Linked DNA regions of Anolis sagrei. The protein of the gene in region 1 interacts with the protein of each later gene in a pairwise test. Links are inferred from orthologs where the notes say so. Each region holds a gene or a part of one and is shown in the gene's direction. Other genes may lie near its edges.

The links. The genes of interacting proteins can lie anywhere in the genome.
Region 2: the proteins of HTT (region 1) and HOXC4 interact in binary tests that used the Homo sapiens proteins (3 or more experiments, as listed by UniProt). The link is inferred for Anolis sagrei from reciprocal best matches to the Homo sapiens genes HTT and HOXC4.
Region 3: the proteins of HTT (region 1) and KLF11 interact in binary tests that used the Homo sapiens proteins (3 or more experiments, as listed by UniProt). The link is inferred for Anolis sagrei from reciprocal best matches to the Homo sapiens genes HTT and KLF11.
Region 4: the proteins of HTT (region 1) and KPNA3 interact in binary tests that used the Homo sapiens proteins (3 or more experiments, as listed by UniProt). The link is inferred for Anolis sagrei from reciprocal best matches to the Homo sapiens genes HTT and KPNA3.

The regions. Positions count from the first base shown.
Region 1 is NC_090025.1:105,052,093-105,059,691, forward strand, and holds the start of HTT (huntingtin), read left to right. Parts: upstream 1-4,579; 5' UTR 4,580-4,749; coding exon 4,750-4,901; intron 4,902-7,599. Other genes in the region: NOP14 (nucleolar protein 14), read right to left, coding at 1,043-1,225.
Region 2 is NC_090022.1:189,248,841-189,256,606, reverse strand, and holds HOXC4 (homeobox protein Hox-C4), read left to right. Parts: upstream 1-4,760; 5' UTR 4,761-5,005; coding exon 5,006-5,603; intron 5,604-6,201; coding exon 6,202-6,563; 3' UTR 6,564-7,614; downstream 7,615-7,766. UniProt on the Homo sapiens protein: Sequence-specific transcription factor which is part of a developmental regulatory system that provides cells with specific positional identities on the anterior-posterior axis.
Region 3 is NC_090021.1:130,476,297-130,484,135, reverse strand, and holds the start of KLF11 (Krueppel-like factor 11), read left to right. Parts: upstream 1-4,833; 5' UTR 4,834-5,063; coding exon 5,064-5,096; intron 5,097-7,839. UniProt on the Homo sapiens protein: Transcription factor. Activates the epsilon- and gamma-globin gene promoters and, to a much lower degree, the beta-globin gene and represses promoters containing SP1-like binding inhibiting cell growth.
Region 4 is NC_090021.1:149,583,170-149,590,184, forward strand, and holds the start of KPNA3 (importin subunit alpha-4), read left to right. Parts: upstream 1-4,009; 5' UTR 4,010-4,011; coding exon 4,012-4,317; intron 4,318-7,015. UniProt on the Homo sapiens protein: Functions in nuclear protein import as an adapter protein for nuclear receptor KPNB1. Binds specifically and directly to substrates containing either a simple or bipartite NLS motif.

The DNA.
Region 1 (7,599 bases):
GGGTAAACAGTATTCCTTGTTGTTTCTATGTCAGTGTTGATGTGGAGATTGTCTGGTTTGCCCACTCTGGAACATGCAACCTATCATTGTCCTTCTTTAGGGGCCCCTTTCAAATCTATGATACTATATCTGTGTATTTGTGTGTGAATCATATCTATCTATCTGATCTATGGCTGGATGGCTCTTTGTCAGGAGGACTTTGATTACGTTTTCTTGCCCTGATGAAGGGAATTGGATTGGATGGCCTTAAGTATTTTCTGATGGTCATGGGGGTTCTGTGTGGGAAGTTTGGTCCAATTCTGTCATTCATGGGGTACAGAATGCTCTTTGATTGTAAGTGAACTGTGAATCCCAGTGACTACAAATCCCAAATGTCAAAGTCTATTTTCCCCAAATGCCATCTGTGTTCATATTTGGGCATATTGAGTGCTTGTGCCAAGTTTGATCCAGATCCATCATTGTTTGAGTCCACTACAACTCCCAAACTTAAGGACAATGCCCACCAAACCCTTCTAGTGTTTTCTGTTGGTCATGGGAGTTCTGTGTGCCAAGTTTGGTTCAATTCCATCATTGATGGAGTTCAGAGTGCTCTTTGATTGTAGGTGAACTATAAATCCCAGCAACTACAACTCCCAAATGACAAAATCATAATTTTTTGAGTGATGGTCATTCCTTGTGTTGTGAGACATTTTGTTGCCAAATTTGGTGTTATTTCATTCATTGGTTCTTTTGTTTTTAAGGTACTCATTATGCACAGAGCATTTATATATATATATAGATTATTTTCTGTTTATCCCAGATTATCTGGCAATAGGGATTTATATAATCCAGTTTAAATCAGAAAACCCGGGATCAGATCCTAGGATGTGGGGCCTGTCTGGAAGTGCCCCTGCTTTAAATACTGATGCGGTTTGGGGGCAATGACAGAGGTGATGAGAATTGTAGTTTGCTCACATCCTGATGCATTTTCCAATGGGACCACTCATCAAATCCAAAACTAAACCAAGGACATTCTGTTATTTATCCTTACAAATCACCTCACCTTTTTGTGGGCCCGGGAGCGCATGACCCCCGGCCGCCCCACGTCGTGCCTGGTCTTCCGGCCCAGGATCTGGAACTTCTGCTTGTTCACCTTCACCTCGAAGGGGTTGCTCTGCGCCATGGCGTCGGTCTTGGCGGAGGCAGCAGCAGCAGCAAGAGTTCCCTTACGCTTAGCTTTCCCCATGGTTGCTCGCGTGGGGACTGGGCGCTCTGCGCTTCCGGAGGCTCACACGCGTGGCTTCCGCTGGAGGCCCCGCCCACCGGCCTCCTTCAGGGATGCTGGCACTTCCCCTGCCGAGGGAGGAGAAACCGGAAGCGCGCGAAGATAGGAACTGCGGCTGCGCGGACCCCTATTGACACTATCGGTGCTTCTGAGGGCCCTTCCACACAGCCCTCTATCCCAGAATATCAAGGCAGCAAATCCCACATTATCTGAGTGTGGACTCGCATAACCCAGTTCAAAGCAGATATAATGGGATTTTCAACCTTGATATTCTGGGATAGAGGGCTGTGTGGAAGGGCCCTGGGATGGGGAAGCAGTGCAAGAGGAGCCTGAGGGCCCTTTCACACAGACCTCTATCCCAGAATATCAAGGTAGAAAATCCCACAATGTTTGTTTTGAACTGGGTTATATGAGTCCACACATGGATAACGTGGGATTTTCTGCATTGATGGGATATAGGGCTGTGTGAAAGGGCCCTCAGAAGCCATGTGTTTATTTATTACAGACTAGCTGTCCCCTGCCACGCATTGCTGTGGCCCAGTCTGGTGATCTGGAAAATAAAGTAATGAGAAAGTGTTGGTTTCTAATATAAGTAATTCCTTTATTCTTGTGAATAAACAGTATTTCTTGTTTCTTTGTCAGTGTTGATGTGGAGAGTGTCTGGTTTGCCTACTCTGGAACATGCAACATATCATAGTCCTTCTTTAAGGGTCTCTTTCAAATCTATACTATATCTGTGTGTGTGTGTGTGTGTGTGTGAGAATCATATCTATCTATCTATATTTATGACTGGATGGCTCTTTGTTAGGAGAGCTCTGATTACATTTTCTTGCCCTGGTGAAGAGAGTTGGACCGGATGGCCTTAAGTATTTTCTGTTGGTCATGGGGGTTCTGTGTGGGAAGTTTGCCCAATTTCTATCGTTTGTGGGTTTCAGAATGCTCTTTAATTGTAGTGAACTAAAAGTCCCAGTAACTACAAATCCCAAATGTCAAGGACTATTTCCTCCGAACTCCATCTGTGTTCATATTTAGGCATATGGATTTTTTGTGCCAAGTTTGGTCCAGATCCATCATTGTTTGAGTCCACAGTGCTCTCTGGATGTGGGTGAACTATAATTCCCAAACTCAAGGTCAATGTCCACCAAACCTTTCCAGTTTCTTCTGTTGGTCATGGGAGCCCTGTGTGCTAAGCTTGGCCCAATTTCATAATTGGTGGAGTTCAGAATGCTCTTTGATTGTAGGTAAACTATAAATCCCAGCAACGACAATTCCCAAATGACAAAATCAATTTTTTTGAATGGAGAACATAAATTGGACTGTTAGGTGTCTTGTGTCCAAATTTGGTGTCAATTCCCCCAGTGGTTTTTGAGTTCTGATGGTACACGAACTAACATTACATTTTTATTTATATATAAATATTTCAATGCCACCTTTCAACAGGACTGACTCAAGGTGGCTCACATCATATTTAAAACATGCATACAAATAATTAAACACTAAACAAATATTAGATGTTCAATAATCCTTAAAAACGTATGTATTATTAAACATTAAAAGTTACACTCTAAAATTCCCCGCTCAGAGGGGATCTGCTGCATTTAGGGTGTTTATAGATATCTGCAGGAAAAAAAATGAAGCTCAAGGAGAAGCTGTGGCTTGGAGTGTTTTCCTTTTTTGGGGGTGGTGGGGGTGGTTGTGTGTTTTGAAATGCATTTATTATGTGCCAACTGTATTTCATCCTAACACAGACAGTACTCTTTCATAGCTTTGGTTGTTGTTGTTCATTCGTTCAGTCATCTCCAACTCTTTGTGACCTTATGGACCAGCCCACGCCAGAGCTCCCTGTCGGCTGTCACCACCCCCAGCTCCTTCAAGGTCAAGCCAGTCACTTCAAGGATGCCATCCATCCATCTTGCCCTTGGTCGGCCCCTCTTCCTTTTGCCTTCCACTTTCCCCAGCATCATTGTCTTCTCTAGGCTTTCCTGTCTCCTCATGATGTGGCCAAAGTACTTCAACTTTGTCTCTAGTATCTTTCCCTCCAATGAGCAGTCGGGCTTTATTTCCTGGAGGATGGACTGGTTGGATCTTCTCGCAGTCCAAGGCACTTTCAGCACTTTCCTCCAGCACCACAGTTCAAAAGCATCTCTCTTCCTTCACTCAGCCTTCCCTAAGGTCCAGCTCTCACATCCGTAGGTTACTACAGGGAATACCATGGCTTTGACTAGGCGGATCTTTGTTGCCAGTGTGATGTCTCTACTCTTTACTATTTTATCGAGACTGGAAATTGCTCTCCTCCCAAGAAGTAAGCGTCTTCTGATTTCCTGGCCACAGTCTGCATCTGCAGTAATCTTTGCACCTAGAAATACAAAGTCTGTCACGGCCTCCACGTTTTCTCCCTCTATTTCCCAGTTGTCAATCATTCTTGTTGCCATAATCTTGGTTTTTTTGATGTTTAGCTGCAACCCGGCTTTTGCGCTTTCTTCTTTCACCTTGATTAGAAGGCTCCTCAGCTCCTCCTCGCTTTCGGCCATTAGAGTGGTGTCATCTGCATTTCTGAGGTTGTTAATGTTTCTTCCAGCAATTTTCACCCCAGCTTTGCATTCATCCAGCCCCGCACATCGCATGATGTGTTCTGCATACAAGTTAAAAAGGTTGGGTGAGAGGATGCAGCCTTGCCGTACGCCTTTCCCAATCTGGAACCAGTCTGGTGTTCCGTGGTCAGTTCTGACTGTTGCGACTTGGTCCTTGTACAGATTCCTCAGGAGAGAGACAAGGTGGCTTGGGATGCCCATCCCACCAAGAACTTGCCACAGTTTATTATGATCCACACAGTTAAAGGCTTTAGAATAGTCAATGAAGCAGAAGTAGATGTTTTTCTGAAACTCCCTGCCTTTCTCCATTATCCAGCGGATATTGGCAATCTGGTCTCTCCTTCCTCTGCCTTTTCTAAACCCAGCTTGAACATCTGGCAACTCTCGCTCCATGTATTGCTGGAGTCTTCCTTGCAGGATCTTGAGCATTACCTTACTGGTATGAGAAATAAGGGCCACTGTACGGAAGTTGGAGCAGTCTTTCGCAATAGTGGGATTTTCTGCCTTGATATCCTGGGATATAGGGCTGTGTGGAAGGGCCCTCAGAATATCAAGGCAGCTAATCTGTAATACCTGCTTTGAACTGGGTTATCTGAGGCCCCTTCCATACAGCTGGCCAGGAGGCGGAGCGTATCCTCCTCTACTTGGCGCTGATTGGCGTTTGGCCTGCCTTTCAAGGGGAAGCCCGGAAGTGGCGAGGGGACAAGGACACGGCGAGGGGGCGTTCCGTCGCGGTGCCGCGGGGAATGACGGGAGCTTTCCAAGATGGCGTCGGTGCGCTGGAGGCGGGCTGAGGGCGCTTGCCTGCTCTGAGTTCCGAGGCCTGCTGTGCTGCCCTGAGCGGGAAGGCGCCGGAGGAGTGGGCTTCCTTCTCGGAGCCCTCCGAGTGTAGTCATGGCCACCATGGAGAAGCTGATGAAGGCCTTCGAGTCCCTCCGCTCCTTCCAGCAGCAGCAGAGCCCTGCCGCCATTCCAGCGGGCGCCTCAGCCGCTTCCTCGGCCGGAGTGGCCGCCGCCTCCGCCGCCGAGGAGCCCCCTCAGAGACCGTGAGTCCGGGCGGGGAGAGGCCAGGCTGGGCCTGTCTCTTTGCCTGTCTTCCTGTCTGTGGGGATTCCCCCGGAGACCGGGGCATTTGTCCTGAGGGGATGGAGCCTATGGAATCCCGCCTTTCTTCCAAAGATGGGACTCGAGGAAGCTTATGACAGAAAGCGACCTCGATCTAAAATCATGGGTAGCAAAAGCAGCCACACTCTCTTTCAGTCCCATGTTTGGATTAGCCTTGTGAATTGAATTCTTTCGATTCTTGTATTGTCGAAGGCTTTCAAGGCCGGAATCACTGAGGTCTCACTACCTCTGAGGATGCTTGCCATAGATGCAGGCGAAACGTCAGGAGAGAATGCCTCTAGACCATGGCCATACAGCCCGAAAAAACCTACAATAACCCACTTTCGATTCCTGCCGTGCAGGATCAGCCCACCAAAACCCCCTCAGCAAGTGCTTCCTTGTAACGGTTTTTTTTAAAAAAATTATTTATTAATTATAATTATAGTAATTATATAAATTAATTAATATATTCCCCCATTTGGGGATTCAAAGATTACTGCAACGCACTCTACATGGGGCTGCCTTTGAAGACAGTTCGGAAACTGCAGTTAGTCCAACGGGCGGCAGCCAGATTCCTAACAGGAGCTACATACAGGGAGCATACCACCCCCTTGTTGTGTCAGCTCCACTGGCTGCTTGTCCAATTCTGAGCTCAATTCAAAGTGCTGGTTTTTACCTATAAAGCTCTATACCAGTGGTTCTCAACCTGGAGTCCCCAGATGTTTTTGGCCTTCAACTCCCAGAAATCCTAACAGCTGGTAAACTGGCTGGGATTTCTGGGAGATGTAGGCCAAAAACATCTGGGGACCCCAGGTTGAGAACCACTGCTCTATACGATTCCGGCCCAGCTTACTTGTCCGAACACATCTGCCTCTACGTCCCACCTCATAACTTAAGATCATCCGGGGAGGCCCTGCTCTCGCTCCTGCCAACATCGCAAACGCGGCTGGCGGGGATGAGAGACTGGGCCTTCTCAGCTGTAGCCGCCCGCCTGTGGAACACGCTTCCAAATGAAATACAATCGACCCCATCCCTCCTGGTGTTCAGGAAGAAATTAAAATCTTGGTTTTGGGACCAGGCTGTCGGACAATAAACATAAAGCAGCACTTTGACTGGAAATGGATTGGCAAGACGATACGTATGACGATACGGTTTTATGGCTCTATCAGTGGGTTTGTGGACTGAGTATTTTTTTTTCATGACTTATGATAATTTGGTTATAATTAACTGCTATTGTTTTAACTCTGTATGTATTTATGGTTTTATACTGTGTTATTGATTGTGGCATCGAATTGCTGCCCTTGTTAGCTGCTCTGAGTCCCCCCTCGGGGGTTGAGAAGGGCGGGGTAAAAATGCTGAAAAATAAATAAAGTGGCCAACAACTAGGTATAAAACATACAAAGTACATTGGGATAATAAAAATAAACAGATTTTTTAAAAAAATGACAACTGAAACATAATAAAGCAGTTACACCATAACAGAATATGTTACAGATTAAAATACATTCAGCACTTTAGGTATAGTTAAAACTAAATACAGTGTTCCCTCACTTATTGCGGGAGTTACATTCCAGGACCTCCCGCAATAAGTGAAAAACCGCGATGTAGGGACACTATATTTATTTTAATATTTATACATTATTTTAGTAGTTATACACTATTTTACGTCTTTATAAACTTAAAATAAAGGAAAGGAAAGGAAGGAAAGGCCCTTCAAGGCTGGAGGGAGGGAGTACTGAGGAGGAAAAGTGTTTTGGAGGCCGCGGCAGCAAAACTTGCGAAACAGCGAAAATACCACAATATATATTTTAAATTAATATTTTTTGAAAACCGCAAAACAGCGCATCCGCTGAAAGCGAACCACGAAGTAGTGAGGGAACACTGTAAACATAAACCAAAGTAATTATCTGTTCTAATACCACTTGTCCATAAAGGTATTGCAGGAAAAAGATTCAGCTCAAATGCTACTATGGCGCCTATCACTCTTGTATTATTCTTCCTTGAAGGCCTGATTCCAGAGAAAAGTTTTTATCTGGCACCTGAAAGTTAGTGAAGGGGAGACCATTCTGATGTCTTTCGGGAGTTCCAGGGCCGTGCAGCAACTACCGAAAAGGCCCTGTCTTGTTCCCACCAACTGTATTTGCGAAGGTGGTGGGATTGGGAGAAGGACTTCTGTTGATCTCAGAGCTCATGCAGCTTCATAGAAGGAGATGCAGTCTTTTAAGTTGACTGGGCTTTAAAGCTTCTTTAAATTAAAGTGCTGTCATTGACTTCAGTCCTGCCCAGAAAGTACAGTGTGGCCATTGAAAGACCGAGGCCCCTTCCACACAGCTGCATGAAATCCAAATTGAACTGGACTTGGACAATCCAGTTCAAAGCAGATACTGTGGATTCTCTGCCTTGATATTCTGTGTTTTATGGCTGTGTGGAAGGGCTGTGAGTGATATAAAATAAAAATAATTTCTACAAACACATCTGTTTTTTTTAAAAACATAATTAGTGGATCTACAAAGGATACTCTATAACCTACCCAAAAAAAGAAAGAAAAAACAAAAAAACTATAACTTTTTCAATCTCTTCAGTCTTTCAGGCCTCTTCCACACAACTGTATAAAATCCCACATTATCTGCTTTCAACTGG
Region 2 (7,766 bases), on another chromosome or scaffold:
ACCTAGTTGGTTGGTTTAAAAAAAATAAGGAAGGGGGGGGGGAGGACTGAGGGCAGAAGTGTGAGAGAGGCAAGAGAGATGCTCTAGGAACAAAAGGGATTTGTTCCCCACTTATAATTTTTTCCACACTTTCTTGGAACTTTCTTTGATAGGAAGCATAAAAGAAACTCACCCGGACACTTTTAAAAAGGCCATTTTATTTTATTTTTTATTTCATTTTTAAAGTTTAGAAACAGAAAAAGAATATATAAACTTTGGAATCTAATTCAAATCTTGGAGGAGAGAAAAACAGGAATCTGTTAAGATACAGAAACAGACACCAACAAGGAGGTAAAACAAACAACCCCAGCATGGAAAATGAAGGGGGGGGGGGGGGAATAAACCTAAAAGGTAGAGTATGTCTACAATCCTGTATGCACTTATTCGGGAGAGACTATTGCTTCCGAGTAAACATGATCAAAATCAGGAGACTGTGTCTACAGGCGGATCTGATGCAAAGAAAGAGCGAGATCTTACTTTTAAGTAGCTTTGCATACATCCTGCTTCTTGAATCTGTTCATGCTTACTCGGACTTTAAACTCCAGTGTATAGATCTGCTATCTCTTATGGAAGTAAGACTCGCTGGAAACAATGTGTCCTCATTTCCAGTTATTACCATCTCCCATAGCCGCATTGCTCTTTTTTCCATGAGCCCTAAAAGAATGATTAAGAGGATAATAATATGGATATATGTATTGTCGAAGGCTTTCATGGCCGGAATCACTGGGTTGTTGTAGGTTTTTTCGGGCTATATGGCCATGGTCTAGAGGCATTCTCTCCTGACGTTTCGCCTGCATCTATGGCAAGTATCCTCAGAGGTAGTGAGGTCTGTTGGAACTAGGAAAAAGGGTTTATATATTTGTGGAATGACCAGAGTGGGACAAAGGACTCTTGTCTGTTGGAGCTAGGTGTGAATGTTTCAACTGACCACCTTGATTAACATATAATGGACTGACAGTGCCTGGAGCAAACTTTTGTTGAGAGGTGAATAGATGTCCTTGTTTGTTTCCTCTCTGTTGTTGTGCTGCTGTAATTTTACGTCAGGAGAGAATGCCTCTAGACCATAGTCATATAGCCCTAAAAAGCCTACAACAACCCAATATGGATATAGTTTTATTTGTTTAGTTCACCCTTATGAATCAGGAAGTTTAAGCTACAATTATCCAGGATAGTCTCACCCTGCCAAAATAAACTGTCTACTGAGGCCTCTTCCACACAGCTGAATAAAATCCCACATTTTTTGCTTTGAACTGGAATGTATGGCACTGCGGACTCAGCTATTCCAATTCAACACAGATTATTCTGCCTTGATATTCTGGATTATATGGCTGTGTGGAAGGGCCCTGAGTCTCTGTTGTGGCTAATGGGAGTTAAAAGCCACAGAGGCCCCTTCCACACAGCTGAATAAAATCCCACATTATCTGCTTTGAACTGGAATATATGGCAGTGTGGACTCAGATAACCCAGTTCAAAGCAGATATTGTGGGATTTTCTGCCTCGATCTTCTGGGATATATGCCTGTGTGGAAGAGTCCTTAGTTCAATGAGGTTTACTCCCTATTAAATGTGCTTAAAAGTTATAGCTTCAGTTGGTAAATCTTTCATCCCTCCTCCTTATCTCTTCATTTGAATTCTATTAAGGTCCCCAATGGGCACTCTGCATCTCAAATCAAGCACTTGAAGGCTGCACTAAATTCAGTGGGAATTTGCTCAGCATATACTGAACAACACAAAGACATGTGGTCTACTCAGATGTAAGTCTCCCTGATTTCAGTGAGGCTAACTCCCAAGCAAGTGTGTATAAGACTGATGTTAGATATAAGATTTTGATAGTATATGTAAAAGAGTATAATTTTAACTAGTCATAGTGATGGCAACTGTATAGCATTGGTAGTAATAGTAAGTGGAGCAGAAAGAGTACTCATATTACTAAAATCAGAACTAATACTTTTTTGAAACATGAAACAGTCATGGCAAACACAAACTTGGGGAGAATGAGTTCCATACAACTATTACAATCCATAAAAACCTGATGGAAGGAGTAATATGGGTGTTTGTAGAAACAGTAGGGATACTTGCTTAATATTATTCCTAGTTGGTGAGTGTTTCTATTTTTCAGCATCTATCCTATAATTTCAATAAATAAATAAAATGCATGTTCTCTCTCTTTCTCCCTCCCTTAGTACTATTCCTGTCATGCCTGCATATCTTATAGATCCCAAGCTTCAACGTTCTCCTTCAATGGAGAATGTATAGAATGAACAAAATCAGGTGAGTTCTCAATAGGAATGACATTGTAAAGATAGTCTGAAATGTTCCACTTACACTAGGACTGGTCATCAAAAGAAAAGGTTTCCTCCATTTTCCCCTTCTTTTGGAGCAAACCACATTTCTCCTCCTCAGAATCTATCAATCAATCAACCAGCAAGCAAGCTGACAATTCCACATAGTATTTGTGCATGAAAAACCTTTTCAGGGTGAACTTGGCCCAAATATTTCATGGACTGATAAAAAGAGGCTAATCAAAACAGTAGATTTTTATGTGGTCACCTGAATAGAAATGAAGGTCATCTTTCAGGGCCCAGTTCTCAAAGTGAGGAGAAGTGGCAAAATTCTTCAGAAACATGCATGCTCAACTTGGGAACTGCTTAACTTGTTTAATGACTTTTTGGAAGTCTTGAGGGCTGCTCTCTTCTGCCCTTTAGCCATCAAAAGAAAGAAAGGCTGGTGGAGGACATCCTTTGGTGTGGGCTTGGAGAGAAGTAACCTTCCCCCCTCCTCCTGAAATAGGCAGTCCCAATTCTCCAGTCGTTTATATGTACCCTGTAGAATCGAATTTGTGTGAGCACCTCAATCACAAATTCGTCTCTAGGGGAGTATATGGACGATGCAGAGCTTTGTTAAATGTTCTCCTTTCTTGGGGTTCTTCTCCCAGATGTTGCAGTTAACAGGCTAATATTTGAGATTTCAGAGTGGTGAGCTTTGTTAAATGTTCTCCTTTCTTGGGGTTCTTCTCCCAGATGTTGCAGTTAACAGGCTAATATTTGAGATTTCAGTGTGCTGTGCTTAAAGATCTTGAAGAGCACATTCTTTGAACAAGAACACACGCTTTGAGGCAGGGTAAAGAGATTGGTCGGGAGGACCATCATACAGCCAGGTCTTGAATAAATAATTAGAATAACAGAGAAGGTAAAGTGTGCTCCTGATAATAAAATCCGGAATTGTGACTTCTCTCTTGCAAAGAAGGAGCAGCAGTCGCTGAAAAGGCAGCTCAGAGCTCACACAAGCCCTTGCCAGAGAAAGAAGGGAGGGAGGAAGAGAGGGAGAGAGAGAGACCTAACCATTTCAAGTGACTGATTTATGGCGTTTTACAGCCCCATAAAAACTGTTACAACCAGCCCAGAGCCTCCGACACCGCTGGCACATTTAGTCTAATAAATAAAACATAAACAGTTAACTTTATGTGTCACTTTTATTGTTATCAAGTAAAATATTGCAATGCCCTGCAAGCTATGATTTTCAACTATAATTGTTATCAAGCAGTACAAGGGATTAATCCGACTGTCGGTGCCCCATCTTCTTAATGTAAGCTATAGATAAAGCCTTTTAACTGCAATAACTGCACTCTTTAAAATGTTTGCTTCCCATCCCAGCTTGCTGAGCCTACCCAGAGGTCTGTTTATGTATCTTATGGGGGAACACAGGCACACTCAAGCAGGGCTGCTTCTGCCCATCATCCCTGACTCAAGATTGAAACCAGAGATTGTGAGCTGACTCTTCCTACTTCTGCAGGGATTTCTGGCTGGGAAGAAGAATAGAATATCATACCTCTTGTATGTGAATGGACACCCACCTTCCTTCCTTCTTTTCCTCCCTCATTTAGACTATATGTATGTGTGTTCTTTCCCACAACAATGCCTTGACATTGAGCAGGAGAAGATTGGTATAAAGCAAGCACCCAGCTACCAGTTTCCCAACAACAACACCTCCTTCTACTAGACTCCTCCACCTCTCCATCCCCTGGTTAGAAGAAGAGAAGGTTGGTGGCCTTGCCATCTGTCTGGAAGGAACTTTTCCTGCTTTTCATCTTCGCCATCCTCTCTTATGAAAACCCCATCAGACCTCCCTTAAGCAAGGGTTGATGAGCCTTTCTAGAGCACTCTCACTCCAAATGACGCAAAGATGATTTGCATACTCCCTTCCCCCACCTTCTCTTCTCCTCCCCCCCCCCCCCAGGTAACCTGCCTTCTTTGTCTCTCTGCCTGCAAACAATTGGATGACAGATGTTGAACTTCCTTTGAGTTTTTGAGTTTTGTGTATGTGTGTAGGTTGGGAGTGGGGGTGGGGCCAGATCTGCAGACAAGGATCCCAGCGGTGTCCTGGATGGGGGGGGGGGGGGAGGAGGAGGGGGCACATCTCTCCCCACAGCTTTTAAGGTGAAACAAGCAGAGCAAATTTGAGCATGCTGCAGTGTTTAAAAAATGGTTGTCTTTCCTGCTTAAGGCTGGCTTAGCTCTTGGTTGTCTACAAGAGAGGACTTGCTGTGCACCTAGAAAACAAGGGGTGGGGGTAGTTTGGGGGAAGAGATTAATCATATAGGAGGTACTCTTCCACACCATCTCTCTGTCAAATAAATGAATTTACTTCTATTAATATTCTGAGCATTGATACTACCTTTTGAAGACGAGGAGCACACACAGGACTGCCTGCCTGGCTGTAAGATCTGCCCCTTCCTCCCCCTCAACCTCTCTCTCTCTCTCTCTCTTTCCCTCTCTCTCTTTCTCTCTCACACACCCCTCTTTTGCTCTGAGGGGAAGGGGATCACACCAACAACAACAAGAACACAGGCACCCGCACCCTGGCGCGCGCTCACACACACACACACACAAATTGGATACATTTTGAATAAGCTTTTGGTTCCTTATCCGGGGACTCGCTCGGCTGGCGTGATTGGCGCAAATAGTCACATGGTGAAACTAACTTTACGGGGTCGCCAGCTAGTAGGAGGGTTTTATGGAGCAGAAAAACGACAAAGCGAGAAAAATTATTTTCCACTCCAGAAATTAATGATCATGAGCTCGTATTTGATGGACTCTAACTACATCGATCCGAAATTTCCTCCATGCGAAGAATATTCGCAAAATAATTACATCCCAGACCACAGTCCGGAATATTACAGCCGGACCAGGGAGCCCAGTTTCCAGCACCACCACCAGGAATTGTACCCTCCGCCACCTCCTCCTCCGCCACCGCCACCTCCTCCACCTCCTCCTCCTCCACCGCGACCCAGCTACCCCGAGCGCCAGTACAGCTGTGCCAGCCTCCAAGGTCCCGGCAACCCCTCCGTGCATCCGAGGGGCCATGGACCACCGCCTGGAGGCCACCACCTCCCCGAGAAGCCCCCGCAGCCGCAGCTCTGCGACCAAACGGCTCTTCCCAGCGCCGCCACCTCGCCATCCCCAGCTCCCCCAGCCTGCAACCAGCAAAACCCCGACCACCCCAGCAGCACGGCCTCTAAGCAGCCCATAGTCTACCCCTGGATGAAAAAAATCCACGTCAGTACGGGTAGGCAACTTTTGCTCCTCTCCTTCCCCTTTTCCTCTCTCCCTCTCTCTCCCTCTGCTTCTTTCCTTGTCCCTGCCTCAGTCTCTTCCTCCTCTCTCTCTCTCTCTCCCTCGCTGTCTGCCTCTCTCTCCCTCCATCACCTCCTTTGCCTTCAACGAGAGTCTTTGGGTTAGCACAATTGAGCGGGATTTACGACTCCGAGTGGGTAATTACACCCACCATAAATTTTATAGCCAAGCTAGTCTGGGCAGCCCGAGCCATGTGGTTCGTTCTGTTATGTATGTGTGAAACTCCAACGGCTTTGCGAGGGGTGCATAAATAATTCAGGCTCTTTGCAAGCCAGGGAAACCCCTTCTTAATCCGAGGGAAAGTCCTGGGTTCTTTATAACCCATTGAGCTGATGACTTCTTCTTCTTCTTCTCCTCCTCCTCCTCCCCCCTTTCTCTCTCTGTATTTCTCCTCCTCTCTTTCCCTTGAGCCACTGGAGATCTTTCTTCCTCTCGGTGTGTGCATCTAACCCGCTCCCCTTCCTTTCCCTTCAACCCTTCTTCCCTCCCTCCCTCCTTGGTTTATTCACGGTCCTCTTTGGTTTTTCCAGTGAACCCCAATTACAATGGAGGCGAGCCCAAGCGATCCAGGACTGCCTACACCAGACAGCAGGTCTTGGAATTAGAGAAAGAGTTCCACTACAATAGGTACCTGACCCGGCGGAGGCGGATCGAGATCGCCCATTCCTTGTGTCTCTCGGAGAGGCAGATCAAGATCTGGTTTCAGAACAGGCGGATGAAATGGAAAAAAGACCACCGGCTGCCCAATACCAAAGTGAGGTCCACAGCCCCGGCCAATTCCTCGGCCGGATCCCTCCCGGCGGCTCCTTCCAACGCGGTGGTGGTCAGCAGCGAAGACCACTCGCAAAGCTCATCTCAGGAAGCACGAGCAGAGGATATTACAAGGTTATAAACAAACAGAGGGGAAAAAAAACAAAACAAAACAAACAGAACCGGCAACAGCAGCAGCAGCAGCAAAAAGAACCACCTCCCCCTCATAAAAAATGACTCTGATTATTTATAGAATCTAATATATATATCTAATTCTATATATTTTGTTTCTCCCCCTTCTCTCTCTTTCTCTCTGTCTTTCTTGTTTCTTCCCCTTTAACCCCCCTTCTTCCCCTCCTTCGTAGTTTTCCGGTGCGTGTGTGTATATATATATCCCCATGAGCCAAGGAAAGGAGGAAAAAAATAAAAATAGAACCACAAACACACAAAAGAATGAGGTCTTTTGCCAGAGATCTCAAGCTTTAGGTGCATGTCTTTATTAGCATGAGAGGCCAGGTGAAATAATTGCTGTTTCTTTCTTTCTTTTCTTTTTTAAAGCGCCATTTTCAGGGTTTTATTTATTTTTTTAAAAGGAAGGGATGAAAGAATGGTGGGAGTGTTGATGAGTGTGTTGTGTGTGTGTGTGTATGTGTGTGCTGGGGTGGGGGAACCTAATGTTCTGTTTTCGATGAAAATGTGAAGCATATGCTAATAATTACACAGGCAAGGAAAGAATGCAGTTGTGTTGCTCTCTGTGCATTTACCAATGGAGAACAAAAAAGAGGACAGAGAAAAATGGATCATTGAGCGCTTTCTCTTCCCCTTCTTGCTTTTTTGTGTTGTTGTATAGACGTTGGGGAAAAGACCAAGGAAAGAAGGGCAGACAGCACAGAGGAGTAAGCAGGAAAGCGGAGAAACTTATGATTTATTTCAATGTGAGAAGCAAACCAGAGAAGAGGGAGGGAGGGCAAGAGAGAAAGTTGAAAGAGAAGTGTCAGTGGATATAGAATCTGTTTGGGTTTTTGTCGTGGTTCTTTCTCGTGTTTTTTATTTCCCCCCTTTTTTGGATATTTTTTTATTTTGGACTGATGATTTGACATGGTCATTGTAAACTTGCAATAAAAAAGAGTTTTAGTGTATATGTGAAAGTCCCCTTGTTCAATAATAAAAAACAAAACAAAAGCAACCAACAACCATTGAGTGTGACACAGATTGATTTTGGAATATCTGGTGAGTTCTTTCGCTTCTTTGCTTTCTGTTACATAGGCAAATGGGTCTGGAGGAGGGGGTTAATGCACCACATCAGCTCCCCCAGGAGGGATATTTTCCCTATTAAGATTCCCTT
Region 3 (7,839 bases), on another chromosome or scaffold:
TATTTCTGGTCTCAAGTATTTTGGATAAGGACTACTCAGTCTGTGTTGTTATTGTTTTTGTTGGTGTTGTTCTAGTCATTTTTGGATTCAGTAGAACAAGATGGTAATACCGGTTTTGTTTCTTAGGCCCCATCTACACTACCATGTAATACAGTTTGGAATTACATTATATGGTCAGTACAGATTCATATATGCAGTCAAACTCCATTATATGAGTCTACAGCAGAGCTTTCCAAACTGTGTGTCGCGACACGTTGGTGTGTCGGCTGTAGCGTGTGTTTTTGCGAGCGTAATGCAAAATGACCAAAATCTCAGAAATGTATGTTATTATCTTTCAAATCATATATATTTCAATGTTTACACGAAAGGCTTTTGTGAGATATGTGTGTCCCCATACATTTCGTTATTACAATTTAATATGTGTCCGCATCTCTTATAAGGGGTTGGTTTAACCTTCGATTTGCTAGTAGATTTACGGTGTTGCAAAACGATTCATGTCTACAATAATGGGTCACCTACATTAAATGTTTGGAAAGCTCTAAATGTTTGGAACGTGTCCACATAATGCAGTGCAGATTCAGCCTTAGTATTTTGGCTACAGTCCTACTGGCATGGACTGCAAAGAGGCAGCAATAACAACCATGCTGAAAAGCCCAAATATAAGACCACACTGCATGAATGATACGCATTAGAAAACCTAAAATGATTTTTAAAGGAGCAAGAATCCTAACCGAGCATCATTGTGTGATAACAACAAAAACCTGATTGAGTTGCTGACCGGTAATTAAAAACAGAAGGGACTATACGGAGGGCAGGCAGGCATTAGAAAAGGAAGCGGGCTGCATGCCAGATATTATTAATAAAGCCGAACATGTGGCCAGAAGGAGTGGCGCTACGTGCTGGATGCTTAAAATATAATACGTGGTTCTCATCACGAAGACGGCTGTGGAAACCACAACAAAGGCATTGTAGATTATAGCAGATCAGAACCCACATTGGCACCAAATAAGAGTTTCACCAAACTGTTTTATAGCATCACTGGGAAGGATCCGGTAGCCCAACAACACCTCCAATCTCGAGACAAAAGAGACATTTTAAAAAACTCCTGAGCTGTGATATAATATGAAAGTGCGGAGCACGGGAAGCAGAAAAACCTTGCCGTTTCCTGTCTCGCCCAGTGCTTTTAGTGAGAAAACAAGAAGAGAAATGCAGCTTTAAAAAAACACCTGTTACATCCAGTTTGGGTTTGCAAATCATCTCAATGCTTTTATTTATTTATTTGATGGTTTTTTCCCCCCACATCAGCCTGGACTCTAAAAAGGGAGCTGCTTGGGGCTTTGTCATCGTGATTGATAGAAAAATGACATTTTTATTCCAGATTATCACAGATGGTTGTGCCTAGCATTTGTAGCTGGCAGTCAACATAAGCAGCTTAGTTATACAGGGAGTGCAAGAACTGAGAGGATGTGTCTCAGGGTGCATCTGCACCATAGAATTAATGCAGATTGAGACCAACTTGACTGCCATGGCTCAGTGTTATGGAATCCTGGGGGTTGTAGTTTCATACAGACTTTAGCCTTCTTTGCCAAAGAGTGCTGGTCTCTCACCAAAAGTACAAATGCCATGATTCCATAGTACAGAATCATGACAGTTCAAGTGGTGTCAAAGTGCACCAATTCTGCAATGTAGATGCACTCTCAGACTCACATTTTGGAAATTAGTCTGAAATAAGAAGAGATTTTAAGAGCACAGTTGATCCTCAAATATCTGCTGGGCTTTGTCTGTGGATATCAAAATCCACAGATGCTCAGGTCCCATAATATAGAAAGATGTTGCCATGGCAGCTAGAGTGAAATCATTTGGCTAAAGTTATACAGTGTGAAGGGCCCTTTGCACTTAAAAGGCAGAGTAACACTTTATGAGATCATACAAAGACCTTTTGTCTTTGTATGATCAAATTCAATGCTGCTCTGAATGTAATTTAACAGAAATAAAATCTTTTATTACACCACTGCACTAGGCAAGGCCTGACCAAAGCTGCACACCATATATACTTACTTAGGCGATCTCTCGTGGCCCTCCAAGTGTTGTGTCTTGGTGGTGGGTCCGTTGTAGCTGGCTGTGGAGCCCTATTCCTGATTCATCAAGTTCCTGGTGGAAGGTGATCCCGGTCAGGGTTGGCTTGAGCACCTTCCTCTTGGCACGTTTCTCTTTTTCACCCACCATTCATGCCTCTTTGAATTTCACAACACTGCTAGGCCCAGCTGACTTCCAGCTAGAGCGCTCAAGGGCCAGGGGCTTCCCAGTTCTCAGTGTCTATGCCTCAGTTTTTAAGGTTAGTGTTAAGCCCATCTTTAAATCTCTTTTCCTGTCCACCAACTTCCCATTTTCCGTTCTTGAGTTGGGAATATAGTAACTGCTTTGAGAGACTATAATCAGGCATTTGGACAACATGGTCAGTCCAGCAGAGTTGGTGGCGTAGTAGCATCACTTCAATGCTGGTGGTCTTTGCTTCTTCCAGTACGTTGACATTTGTCTATTTGTCTTCCTAAGAAATTTGCAGGATGGAATTGTTACAGGAGTTGAGTGTGACGTCTGTAGACAGTCCATGTTTCGCAGGCGTATAGCAGGGTTGGGAGGACAATGGCTTTATAAACAAGCACTGTGGTCTCCCTACGGATGTCCCGGTCCTCAAACACTCTGTGCTTCATTTGGAGGAATGTTGCACTTGCAGAGCTCAGGTGGTGTTGTATTTCAGTGTCAATATTCTCGTATGCTTCTGCAAAAGAGTGACTTATAGGTCTTCTGAGTGAGCATAGATTATGTTATCATCAGCATATTGGAGTGTTGTATTTCAGTATCAGTGTTGACTTTGTGGGGAAGTGGCTGCCAAGGTAGTGGAAATAGTCAACATTTTCTAACGTTACACTATTAAGCTGAATTTCTGGCATCGAAGAGGGACTGGCTGGTGACTACTGGAAGAGCAATTTGGTTTTCTCGATGTTCAGTGAGCCGAGCTTCTCGTATGCTTCTGCAAAGGTGTTTAGAGTGGCATGTAGATCTTCTTCTGAATGTGCACAGATTATGTTATCATCAGCATACTGGAGTTCTATAACATGTTGTAACCTTGGTTTTCGCTTTCAGTCTGCTGAGGTTGAATAGCTTGCCATCTGTCCGATAGATGATTTCCACTCCAGTGGGAGGCTTCCCATCAACAAGATGAAGTATCAAAGCAATGAAGATGGAAAATCAAGTGGGGGCAATAACACATCCCTGTTTCCCACCTGATGCCACCTTAAATGGGTCAGTGAGAGGCCAAACTTTTTGTATACTTCTGCAAAGGTATTTAGAGTGGCTTCCAGGTCTTCTTCTGAATCTACACAGACTATATTATCATTGGCATACTGGAGTTCTATAACATGTTGTTGTAACATTGGTTTTGGCTTTCAGTCTGCTGAGTGTAAATAGCTTGCCATCTGTACAATAGATGATTTCCACTCTGGTGGGAAGCTTCCCATCAACAAGATGAAGTATCAAAGCAATGAAGATGGAAAATAAGGTTGGGGCAATAACACATCCCTGTTTCACACCTGATTCCACCTCAGATGAGTCAATGAGAAGCCAAGCTTCTCGTATACTTCTGCAAAGGTATTTAGAGTGGCTTGTAAGTCTTCTTCTGAATGTGCACAGGCTACGTTATCATCAGCATATTCGAGTTCTATAACAGATGTTATATTTGTGTGTATATACATACATACATTCACACAACATATGGAGCCAACTGTACTTATATATATCTTCTTCTTCTTCGGCAATCCCTTGTTGTCCGAGTAGGATAGTCTTCCAGGATCGGTGTACTGGTGGGTCCGTGGGTGACTGTGGAGCCCTATTCTTGATCTGCATCTTCTCCCGCAGTGAGGGAATCGGTTTCCAGGTGGAAGGCGATCCCGGTCGGGGTTGGTTTGATGCACCTTCCTCTTGGCACGTTTCTCTTTCGCCCTCCATTTGTGCCTCTTCAAATTCTACAGCACTAATGGTCACGGTTGACCTCCAGCTGGAGCGCTCAAGGGCCAGGGCTTCCCAGTTTTTAGTTTTTAAGGTTGGCTTTGAGCCCATCTTTAAATCAATGGGACCAACTGTATATATATTTAAGTACAGTTCACCCCATGTTCCCACAGATCCTATATCCACGGATTCAACCATCCACAAGCAGTGTGACTCCAGAGACCCAACTCAGCCATGGCTGACCTTAGACAAGTCACACTCTCACAGCTTGAAAGGCCAGTAAAGGTTAGCCCCTTCTAGACGAATCTTGCCAAGGATTTGGAGACTAGGAGGGCCCAGAAGGGCCACTCATGAAGGAGAGTGGAGGAGCCAGAGAGTGGCTTGTGTGTTGTGAGGAGAGAGAGAGAGAGAGGGCGTGCGGAGGGGGGAGCGCACCCCCCTGGGAAGAGCCTGCCTCGCTGTTGCTGGGGCGAGGGCGGTGATGTCAGCGGCTGCCTCTGCGCTCGCGCTGGCTCTTCCCCCAGCCACGCCCCCCTCCCTCCCTCCCCGGGCATTCCCTGGCTGTTGATACAGAACAGCCCCGCCCTTTCCTTTGCTCAGGCTCCAGCTTGGCTCCGCCCCCTTTCCCTCCCTCGAGCGACCTTTCCCCTAGTTTCCAAAGGGGTGGCTCGGCTCCTCTGCCGCCGCCGCCGCCGTGCCCACGCGGGGCCTTTCCTGCTCGGAGCCGAGCTGCACGAGGCCATCACGCCGCCCGCGAGAGCCGATTGGCCGGCCGAAAGGCAGCTCGGGTCGTGATTGGCTGCGGCGCGCCACACTCTTCCCCCGTTCGCTCTGTCCTCCTCCGCCCCTTCCAGCTGCTCGTGCTGGATGGAGTGTTTTGGTGGGTTTCCTTCTGTGTTTTGGCGGCGCGCCTCCCTGCAAGGAAGGAGGGAAGGAGGAGGGAAGGGAAAGAGGCGGGGAAGCAGCAGGGAGAGCGCTCCGGCTGGCTTTGTCACTGCTGCTGCTGCTGCTGCTGCTGCTGCTGGGGCTGCTCCTCACTGCAGGAGCCCTTCTTCACCATGCACACCGAGGAGATGGGGGACAGCCCCGCGGTGAGTGCCGGCTTCGAGTCGGATCAGATCCGCATCAAGGGGAGCGGCGGGTGGGATGGGATGGATGATGATCCAGAACAACTCCTGCCTAGTTAGGTTTTTAATTATATATAAATGCATCACACTCTCTCTCTGTGTACAGAGTGTCCCAAAAATGTAAACATCCTTAAAATGCTTAATCTGAAATTATTATTATTCTATATTTACTTGCAATTTGATGAACATTGGTAAACCAGGAGATCTAATGCAGGCTAGTTAGATCTGTATCTATTTATCTACAATGTTGTTATTATAATATTTGCAATTTATTTTCACAAAGTATACACCCATAACCGTTTATCATCCCAGTATGATAATAATAGTAATCTTATTTGTTCGTTATCTCAATAATGTACATACCTTTTAACAGTTTATAATGCTGGAATTATTGTTGTTGTTGTGATTGTTTTAATTAAGTTATTTCAAAAAGGCATACACCTTTAACTGCTTATAATTCTGGAATTATTATTGTTATTATTATGACTGCTTTATTTGCAAGTTATTTGTACCTTTAACTGCTTATAATTCTAGAATTGTTGTTGTTATTATTATTATAACTTTTATTTCCAAGTTATTTGCACCTTTAACTACTTATAATTCTGTACCTTTAACTGCTTATAATTCTAGAATTATTATTGTTGTTATTATTATGACTTTTATTTGCAAGTTATTTGTAACCTTAACTGCTTATAATTCTGTACCTTTAACTGCTTATAATTCTGGAATTGTTGTTTTTATTATTGTTATTAATACATACCTCAAAAGGTATACACCCATAACAAACTACTACTACTATTATTATTATTATTATTATTATTATTTGAGGTTTATTTGAAAAGTGTAGAGTCCAATAAGAGCATATAAATCTGGAATTATTATTATTATTGTTATTATTATTATTATTATTGTTATGTGCAATCTTAAAAATGCATGTATCCATATCAGTTTTATCATTCTGGAGTTATTAATATAATTTGCAAATAATTTCAAGAAATGTATACCTCCTCAACAGTTTATAATTCTAGTATTTCCTTGTTTATTTTGCACCCTCCCCCTCCCCTATGTATACATCCTTATCAGATTCCAATAGCAGTGAAGTGTCAGGATTAAGGAGTCCAATAGGAGGGATGTGCCATGAAATCAGAAGAGAAACTTTCAAGTGAGGTCTGCCACTCTTCTGTGTTTGGACAATGAGGGCAGTGGCACTGCTGCACAGGGGCCATTTCAACACTTTACATTGTAGTTTAAGGCGGGGTTTGTCACTCTGATCAAACCATAATGATAATATTTAACAACAACAATAACAACATATTCAGCTCTATTTCCCAAAGGGGACTCAGAGCAGATACTCTTCTTGAATTCAATATAAATTAATTTACTTAGCCTTCCGATAACTAGTATGGCTATTATTATGATGAAGTGTGTGTGTGTGTGTAATATTTCAAGGGAGGTGGCACCCTATGTACCTTGCAAGTGTTACTTTGTGGGTGGGTTTGCCAGGTGGTGTGCCTGAGAGATGCCTTAGTGTTGCATGATGCCAGGGCTGTTTCCCAACGCTTTTAAGGCAGGTAATCTGTTTTGACAAAGCCCATTGCTTTCAAGGTGGTCTGCAATGGGCTTATTTCTAACTTACCCAGTGTTTGTGTGGAAAACACTTCAGAATCCCTTTCTTTGAATAGATGACTGGCAGTTGTGTGTGGGATGCTGGTGGGAGGGGACATTGATTCTCCTTTTAGTGTTGTTGTTTTTGTTGTTGTTGTTATATTTATTTGTACCCTGCTTTTCCCTTTTGATCGACACTCAGAGTGGCTCATAACCTTATAGACAAACTACAGCATACAAATATGGAAACGGAATTAAACATACCATTGTTTAAAAAGGCCAGTGGAAATCTGGGTGGCCACAGGAGGTGCATCCAGAAAAATCATGGTCAGGATTCTATGTCACGCTCATAGATGCATAACCTACGAATCCATATAAATAATCTTTACATAGGGTGCATTACAGATGTAAACCGAATGCAGTTTTACACCACTTTAATTGCTATGGCTCAATTAGAGAAAATCCTGGGAGCTCCCAGCACTCTTTGTCAGAGAAGGCTAAAGCCTTTTTTAAAACTACAACTCCTGGGATTCCATAGCAATGAAATCACAGCAGTTGAAACTGTATTAATTCTATAGATCCACCCTTGTAAGGAAGTGGTACTTATAGTTTGAGGGAATTGCCAGTAAGTGAGGCGGGTGGACTCTGCCTTCCCTTGGTACCTCCTGCCTCGCCCGTTGACTAGTCACCACTGACGCATGCAGTATATTGTGCTTTCGGGTGAGTAATCTCTCTGCGCCGTGGTCCACTGTTGCCTGGTGATCTAGCACAAAGTAATGAGTGCGGGAGAAGCTGATTGCTTCCTTGCTTGGTTTATGTGTGTGTGCAAAACCTCAAAATTGGGCGTGTTATTTCTCCCCCCTCCCCACTCCAGATTATCAATGTTCAGCCTTGCCCAAAGATTGCATGCCATCTCACACACTTCTTTGCTTTCCAGCCAGGCCAGTGTTGTAGACCCCAGCACCACGCCCCCCAACATTGGCTCAGCCAGAGACCACCACCCACTGGCTCACAGGGCTATTTTGATGCATGACCTCGACCCACTCCTTCCCTCCGCCCCACTCCGGCTATATTTGGAGTGGGTGGCTGCTCTGGCTCCCAT
Region 4 (7,015 bases), on another chromosome or scaffold:
CAGAGCTCCCTGTGAGACGTGGCCACCCCCAGCTCCTTCAATGTCAAGTCAGTCACTTCAAGGATACCATCCATTCATCTTGCCCTTGGCTGGCTCCTCTTCCCTTTTCATTCTATTTTCCCCAGAATCATTGTCTTCTCTAAGCTTTCCTGTCTTCTCATTATGTGGCCAAAGTACTTTATCTTTGCCTCTACTATCCTTCCCTCCAATGAGCAGCCAGGCATTATTTCAAAGTGGTGTCATCTGCCTAAATAATAATAATAAACTTTATTTATACCCCGCCACCGTCTCCCCCAACGGGGACTCGGAGCAGCTTACATGGGGGCAAGCCCGAACAACAAATTAAAATACAAAATTACAATAAGATAAACAACATAACATTAAAGTATAAACATCAAAGCATATAAACAATATACATAGAACATAAAAACCGAACATAAGGACAAAGAGCAGGCCGCATGTACATAAAATGTACATAAAATCCCACATTATCTGAGTGTGGATAAGCCGGTTCAAAGCAGAGATTGTGGGATTTTCATATAATCCAGTTTAAAGCAGAAAACCTGGGATCAGATCCTGGGATATGGGGCCTGTTTGGAAGGTCCCCCAGATAACCCAGTTCCAAGTAGATATTGTGGATTATCTGCCTTGATCTTCTGGTTTACATGGCTGTGTGGAAGGACTTTTAGATGGAGAATAAATTCCCAGATGGCTTTCCTGGAAACTACTACAGAATTTAGGGCAGGAAATTAATTGTTTTTAATGTATTTTCGAAGGCTTTCATGGCCGGAATCACTGGGTTGTTGTAGGTTTTTGCGGGCTATATGGCCATGTTCTAGTGGCCTTCTCTCCTGACGTTTCGCCTGCATCTATGGAAAGCATGGTTGAAGGTTTTCATGGCCAGAATCACTGGGTTGTTGTAGGTTTTTTCGGGCTGTATGGCCATGGTCTAGAGGCATTCGCTCCTGATGTTTCGCCTGCACTTTGGCAAGCATCCTCAGAGGTAGTGAGGTCTGTTGGAACTAGGCAAAAGGGTTTATATATCTGTGGCATGACAAGGAGGCCCCTCGAGTGCTGAACGAGTGCCTGGCCGCTGTGGCTATCTGGATGAGGAAGAACAAGCTGAAGATCAATCCCGACAAGACAGAGGTCCTCCTGGTCAATCGTAAACCGGATCGGGGTATAGGGTGGCAACCTGTGCTGGATGGGGTTGCACTCCCCCTGAAATCACAGGTCCGCAGCTTGGGAGTTCTTCTGGATTCATCACTTACGCTTGAGGCTCAGGCGTCGGCGGTGTCCGGGAGGGCTTTCGCACAGTTAAGACTGGTGCGCCAGCTGCGACCGTACCTCGCGAAGGCTGATTTGGCCGGGGTGGTCCATGCCTTAGTCACCTCTAGATTGGATTACTGTAATGCGCTCTATGTGGGGCTGCCCTTGAAAACGGCTCGGAAATTCCAACTGGTTCAACGGGGGGCGGCCAGGATGTTAACTGGTGCTCCTTACAGAGAGGTCAACCCTCCTGTTCAAGGAGCTCCATTGGCTGCCATTTACCTACCGAACCCAATTCAAGGTGCAGGTATTAACCTACAAAGCCCTAAACGGTTTGGGACCTGCCTACCTTCGTGACCGCATCTCCGTTTATGAACCCACACGCTCCCTTCGGTCATCTGGAGAGGCCCTGCTTGCGATCCCACCTTGGCGTTTGGTGGGGACGAGGGACAGGGCCTTTTCTGTGGTTGCCCCCCGACTTTGGAACGACCTCCCCAAAGACATTAGACTAGCACCCACGTTGGCAGTCTTTAGGAAGAATTTGAAGACCTGGCTATTCCGATGTGCCTTTCCAGAATAGGATGACCCAGCACTTTGTCCCAGAAGCACTTTACTAGAGTTTAAGACTCTCTGCACATGGCACTTGCCCAGAATCTCAATATACCTCCTGTCACACCCAGCACTTTTTTAACCTGTACCCATCACTGGCCCGGCCATGGTTTTTATTGTGTAATAGTGTAATGTCTTGCTATTGCTTATGTTTTTAATTTGCTTTGTTTTGTATTGTTTTGTGTTTTACTGCTGTTGTGTTAAGGCCTTGGCCTTTGTAAGCCGCATCGAGTCCCTCGGGAGATGCTAGCGGGGTACAAATAAAGTTTAATAATAATAATAATAAAGGGTGAGACAAAGGACTCCTCTCTGCTAGAGCTAGGTGTGAATGTTTCAACTGACCACCTTGATTAGCATACAATGGCCTGACTGCGCCTGGGGCAAACCTTTGTTGAGAGGTAATTAGATGTCCTTGTTTGTTTCCCCTCTGTTGTTGTGCTGTTGCAATTTTAGAGTTTTTTGAATACCGATAGCCAGATTTTGTTCATTTTCATGGTTTCCCCCTTTCTGTTGAAATTGTCCACATGCTTATGTATTTCAATGGCTTCTCTGCGTAGTCTGACATGGTGGTTGTGAGAGTGGTCCAGCATTTCTGTGTTCTCAGATAATATGCTGTGTCCAGGCTGGTTTATCAGGTGCTCTGCTATGGCTGACTTCTCTGGTTGGAATAGTCTGCAGTGCCTTTCATGTTCCTTGATTCGTGTTTGGGCAATGCTGCGTTTGGTGGTCCCTATGTAGACTTGTCCACAGCTGCATGGTACACGGTAGACCCCTGCAGAAGCGAGAGGATCCTTCTTGTCCTTTGCTGAACGTAGCATTTGTTGGATTTTCTTGGTGGGTCTGTAGATAGTTTGTATGTTGTGTTTCCTCATCCGCTTCCCTATGCGGTCAGTGGTTCCCTTGATGTAGGGCAAGAACACTTTTTCTCTGGGAGGATCTTCATCTTTACTCTCGTGGCTAGTTCTCGGTCTTGCAGCTCTTCTGATGTCTGAGGTAGAGTATTCATTGGCCTGTAGAGCCCAGTTGAGATGGTTCAGTTCATCTTGGAGGAGGTGGGGTTCGCAGATTCTTTTTGCACGGTCTTGCAGCTCTTCTGATGTCTGAGGTGGACTCTCCATTGGCCTGGAGAGCCCAGTTGAGGTGGTTCAGTTCATCTTGGAGGTTTTTTTTTTTTATCGTGTCATCCGCAACCAGAACATTGTGTTACATTTCTAACAGAACAAAACAAACAAACAGATTTTTTTTAAAAAAACACAAATTTTGCAAACTTGGTAGCTGATTAAATGTCCTTTGACCAGTATCTGGCCACTTGGAGTGCCTCTGGTGTTGCTGCAAGAAGGTGCTCCATCGTGCATGTGGCTGGGCTCAGGGTGCATTGCAGCAGGTGGTCAGTGGTTTGCTGTTCTCCGCACTCGCATGCCGTGGATTCCACCCTGTAGCCCCATTTCTTAAGATTGGTTCTGCATCTCATGGTGCCGGAGTGCAGTCTGTTCAGCGCCTTCCAAGTCGCCCAGTCTTCTGTGTGCCCAGGGGGGAGTCTCTCATCTGGTATCACCCACGGATTGAGGTGCTGGGTTTGAGCCTGCCACTTTTGAACTCTCGCTTGCTGAGCTGTTCCAGCGAGTGTCTCTGTAGATCTAAGAAAACTATTTCTTGATTTAAGTTGGAGGAGATGGGGTTCGCAGATTCTTTTTGCACGGTCTGTCAGGGCTTTAATGGTGCTTCTTTTTTGACTTGGGTCAAAAAAGCATCCTCAGAGGTAGGGCTGTGTGGGAGGGTGCTCAGATAACCCAGGCCCTTTCCACACAATGGAATAAAATCCCACATTTTCTACTTTGAACTGGAATATATGACAGTGTGGAAGGGCCCTGAATCAGAACAAAGAGGATGCTTGCCATATAGCCCGAAAAAACCTACAACAACCCAATTGTTTTTAACATTTTCCCCCTCACAATTCCTCAAGCCAGTCCTCCTTCCTACATTCCTGCTTGCCAGGATGCTTTCGGCGCACGCGCACAACCCTTTCCGAAGGCGACCCTCTAGAAAAGGGCGGGGCGAATTCCCGAAGCAAAAAAAAAACCAGCAAGCAAAAGGCATGATGAGCAACAACCAGGAAGCTTCATCTCCCGAATCATGTGTCACTCTGTCATTTTAGACGCTCTATGCTCCGCCTCCCTCCCTCCCTCCCACGACTCGGGGGCCCTGAGAGGCGTCGCGTGCGGCGCGCGTGCGCAGTGGCGGGGCCCTTCTGCCGTTCGTCACTGCGCGTCCTCCCCTTTCGCGCGCACGCCGCCGCCGCCGCTCCAGCCCAGAGCCGCCTCTGCCGCCGTCGCCATGGCTGACAACGCCGCTGCCGCTGCCGCTGCTGCCGCCGCCGCCGCCGCTGGCCTAGAAAACCACCGCCTGAAGAGCTTCAAGAATAAAGGCCGCGACGTGGAGGTCTGTGCCGGCTGGGCGGTGGGGGCCTCGCCGTCGTTGCTCGGCTCGCAGGGGGAGTGGCTGGGCGGCTCGGGCCTAGGCCGGCGGGAGGGAGGGAGGGGTAGATAGAGGGTCCCTCCCTTCCTCCCTCCCTCCCTCCCTCCCTCGGATAGGGCGTCGGTGGGCCCTTCCTGAGGCAGGGAGGGAGACCGCTTTGTGTCTGCGCCCCTTCCCTTGGGCCCAGAGGGAGGGAAAGAGGGAGGCACTGCGGGAGAGGAGGCTGGAAGCGGGTCAGCACCCCTCCCTGCCCATCGCCCTCGCCTTTCCCCTTTCATACTCTGCCAGGGCAGTGGGAGGATTCACAATGGTGGTGGGCCTTGCTATTCTTGGCCAGGCTCCTTTCCCCGCTCCATTCTGACAGGCGGTTGGTTGACATCTCCACGGAATCCCCTCCCGTGGAGCCCAATGACTGGCCCCTATTGTTCTCCAGTCGTGAAATTTTTCATGGAGGCCTTGTATTTCTTTTTATTCATTGATCTCGGGTTTTTTAAAACTCCGTCTTTCTTCTGACTCAGGGCCCTTCCACACTGTCATATATTCCAGTTCAACGCAGAAAATGTGGGATTTTATTCCATTGTGTGGAAAGGGCCTGGGTTATCTGAGCACCCTCCCACACAGCCCTATAGCCCAGAATATCAAGGCAGAAAATCCCACATTATCTGCGTTGAACTGAGTTATTTGAGAGCCCTTCAACACAACCGTATAACCCCGAATATCAAGGCAGAAAATCCCATAATAGGAGCCCCCGGTGGCGCAGTGGGTTAAACCCCTGTGCCGGCAGGACCGAAGACCGACAGGTCGCAGGTTCGAATCTGGGGAGAGGCGGATGAGCTCCCTCTATCAGCTCCAGCTCCTTGTGCGGGGACATGAGAGAAGCCTCCCGTAAGGATGATAAAAACATCAAATCATCCGGGTGTCCCCTGGGCAACGTCCTTGCAGATGGCCAATTCTCTCACACCAGATGCGACTTGCAGTTTCTCAATTCGCTCCTGACACGACAAAAAAATAATAATCCCATAATATATGCTTTAAACTAGGTTATTTGGGGGCCCTTCAACACAGCCATATAACCCCAAATATCAAGGCAGAAAATCCCATAATATATGCTTTGAATTTATTTTAGGGCCCTTCCACACAGCCATATAACCCCAAATATCAGGGCAGAAAATCCCATAATATATGTTTTGAACTAGGTTATTTGAGCACCCTCCCACACAGCCCTATAGTCCAGAATATCAAGGCAGAAATCCCACATTACCTGCTTTCAACTGGGTTATCTAGAGCCCCTTCCACAGAGCTGAATAAAATTCCACATTTTCTGCTTTGAACTGGAATATATTTTAGTGTGGACTCAGATAACCCAGTTCAAAGCATATATTTTGGGATTTTCTGCCTTGATATTCTGGGATATAGGGCTGTGTGGAAAAGTTCCCAGGGCCTTCCATGCAGCCCTATATCCCATAATATCAAGGCAGAAAATCTCAAAATATATGCTTTGAACTGGGTTATCTGAGTCCATGCTAAATATATATTCCAGTTCAAAGCAGGAATTGTGGGATTTTCTGCCTTGATATTCTGGGATATAGGGCTGTGTGGAAGAGTTCCCAGGGCTCTTCCACACAGCCCTATAACTCAGAATATCAAGGCAGGAATATCAGTGTGGGATTTTCTGCCTTGATATTCTGGGATATAGGGCTGTTTGGAAGGACTCTGTGTTACTAGGGCCTCTTCCACAGAGCTGAATAAAACTCCACATTTTCTGCATTGAATTGGAATATATTTTAGTATGGACTCAGATAACTGGGGCCCCTTCCACACAGCTGAATAAAATCCCACATTATTTGCTTTGATCTGGAATATATGGCAGTGTGGACTCAGATAACCCAGTCCAGAGCAGATATTGTGGGATTTTCTGCCTTGATAGTCTGGGATATAGGGCTGTGTGGAAGGACCCTGGGAACTTTTCCACACAGCCCTATAACCCAGACTATCAAGGCAGAAAATCCCACAATATCTGCTTTGAACTGTGTTTTCTGAGGGCCCTTCCACACAGACTTATATCCCAGAATATCCAGGCAGAAAATCCCACAATATACTTTTGACAACAGATGATAGAGCTGGATATTGGGGGCAAGGATTATGAAGCAACCATCCCCAGCAGGGACCCACTACTAACTACAAATGCTAGAATGAGGAAAACCGTTTTTTCCCCTATTTTCCAAATTTTGTAAAATTAGATTTTTGAGACTCAAGACTGAAAGCAGAGTGTGAAAGGAGTGGCCAATGGTGGGACCACCAGAGATGAGAAGTATCTAAGTCTTACTGTCACTTTTGTTTCATGAAAAACACAGACAGTTGGTCAGTTGTAATTAAATAATGATTGTGTACCATCATACAGGAATTGAATAATAGAAATTCCAAAGATATGAGTGACTTCATTAGGTTGTGATTGTAAATAAAATTGGAATGGGCCACACTGATTACTTTTTTGAACAGACATGAATAAACCTCGGATGTTTGTTTTCTAGGGGCCCTTCCAACAGTCCTGGGTTATGTGCATCCACACTGCCATTTATTCCAGTTCAAAGCAGATATTGTGGGATTTTCTGCCTTGATACTCTGGAAAATTAGGGGCAAATTCTTACATATTTCAATCAGG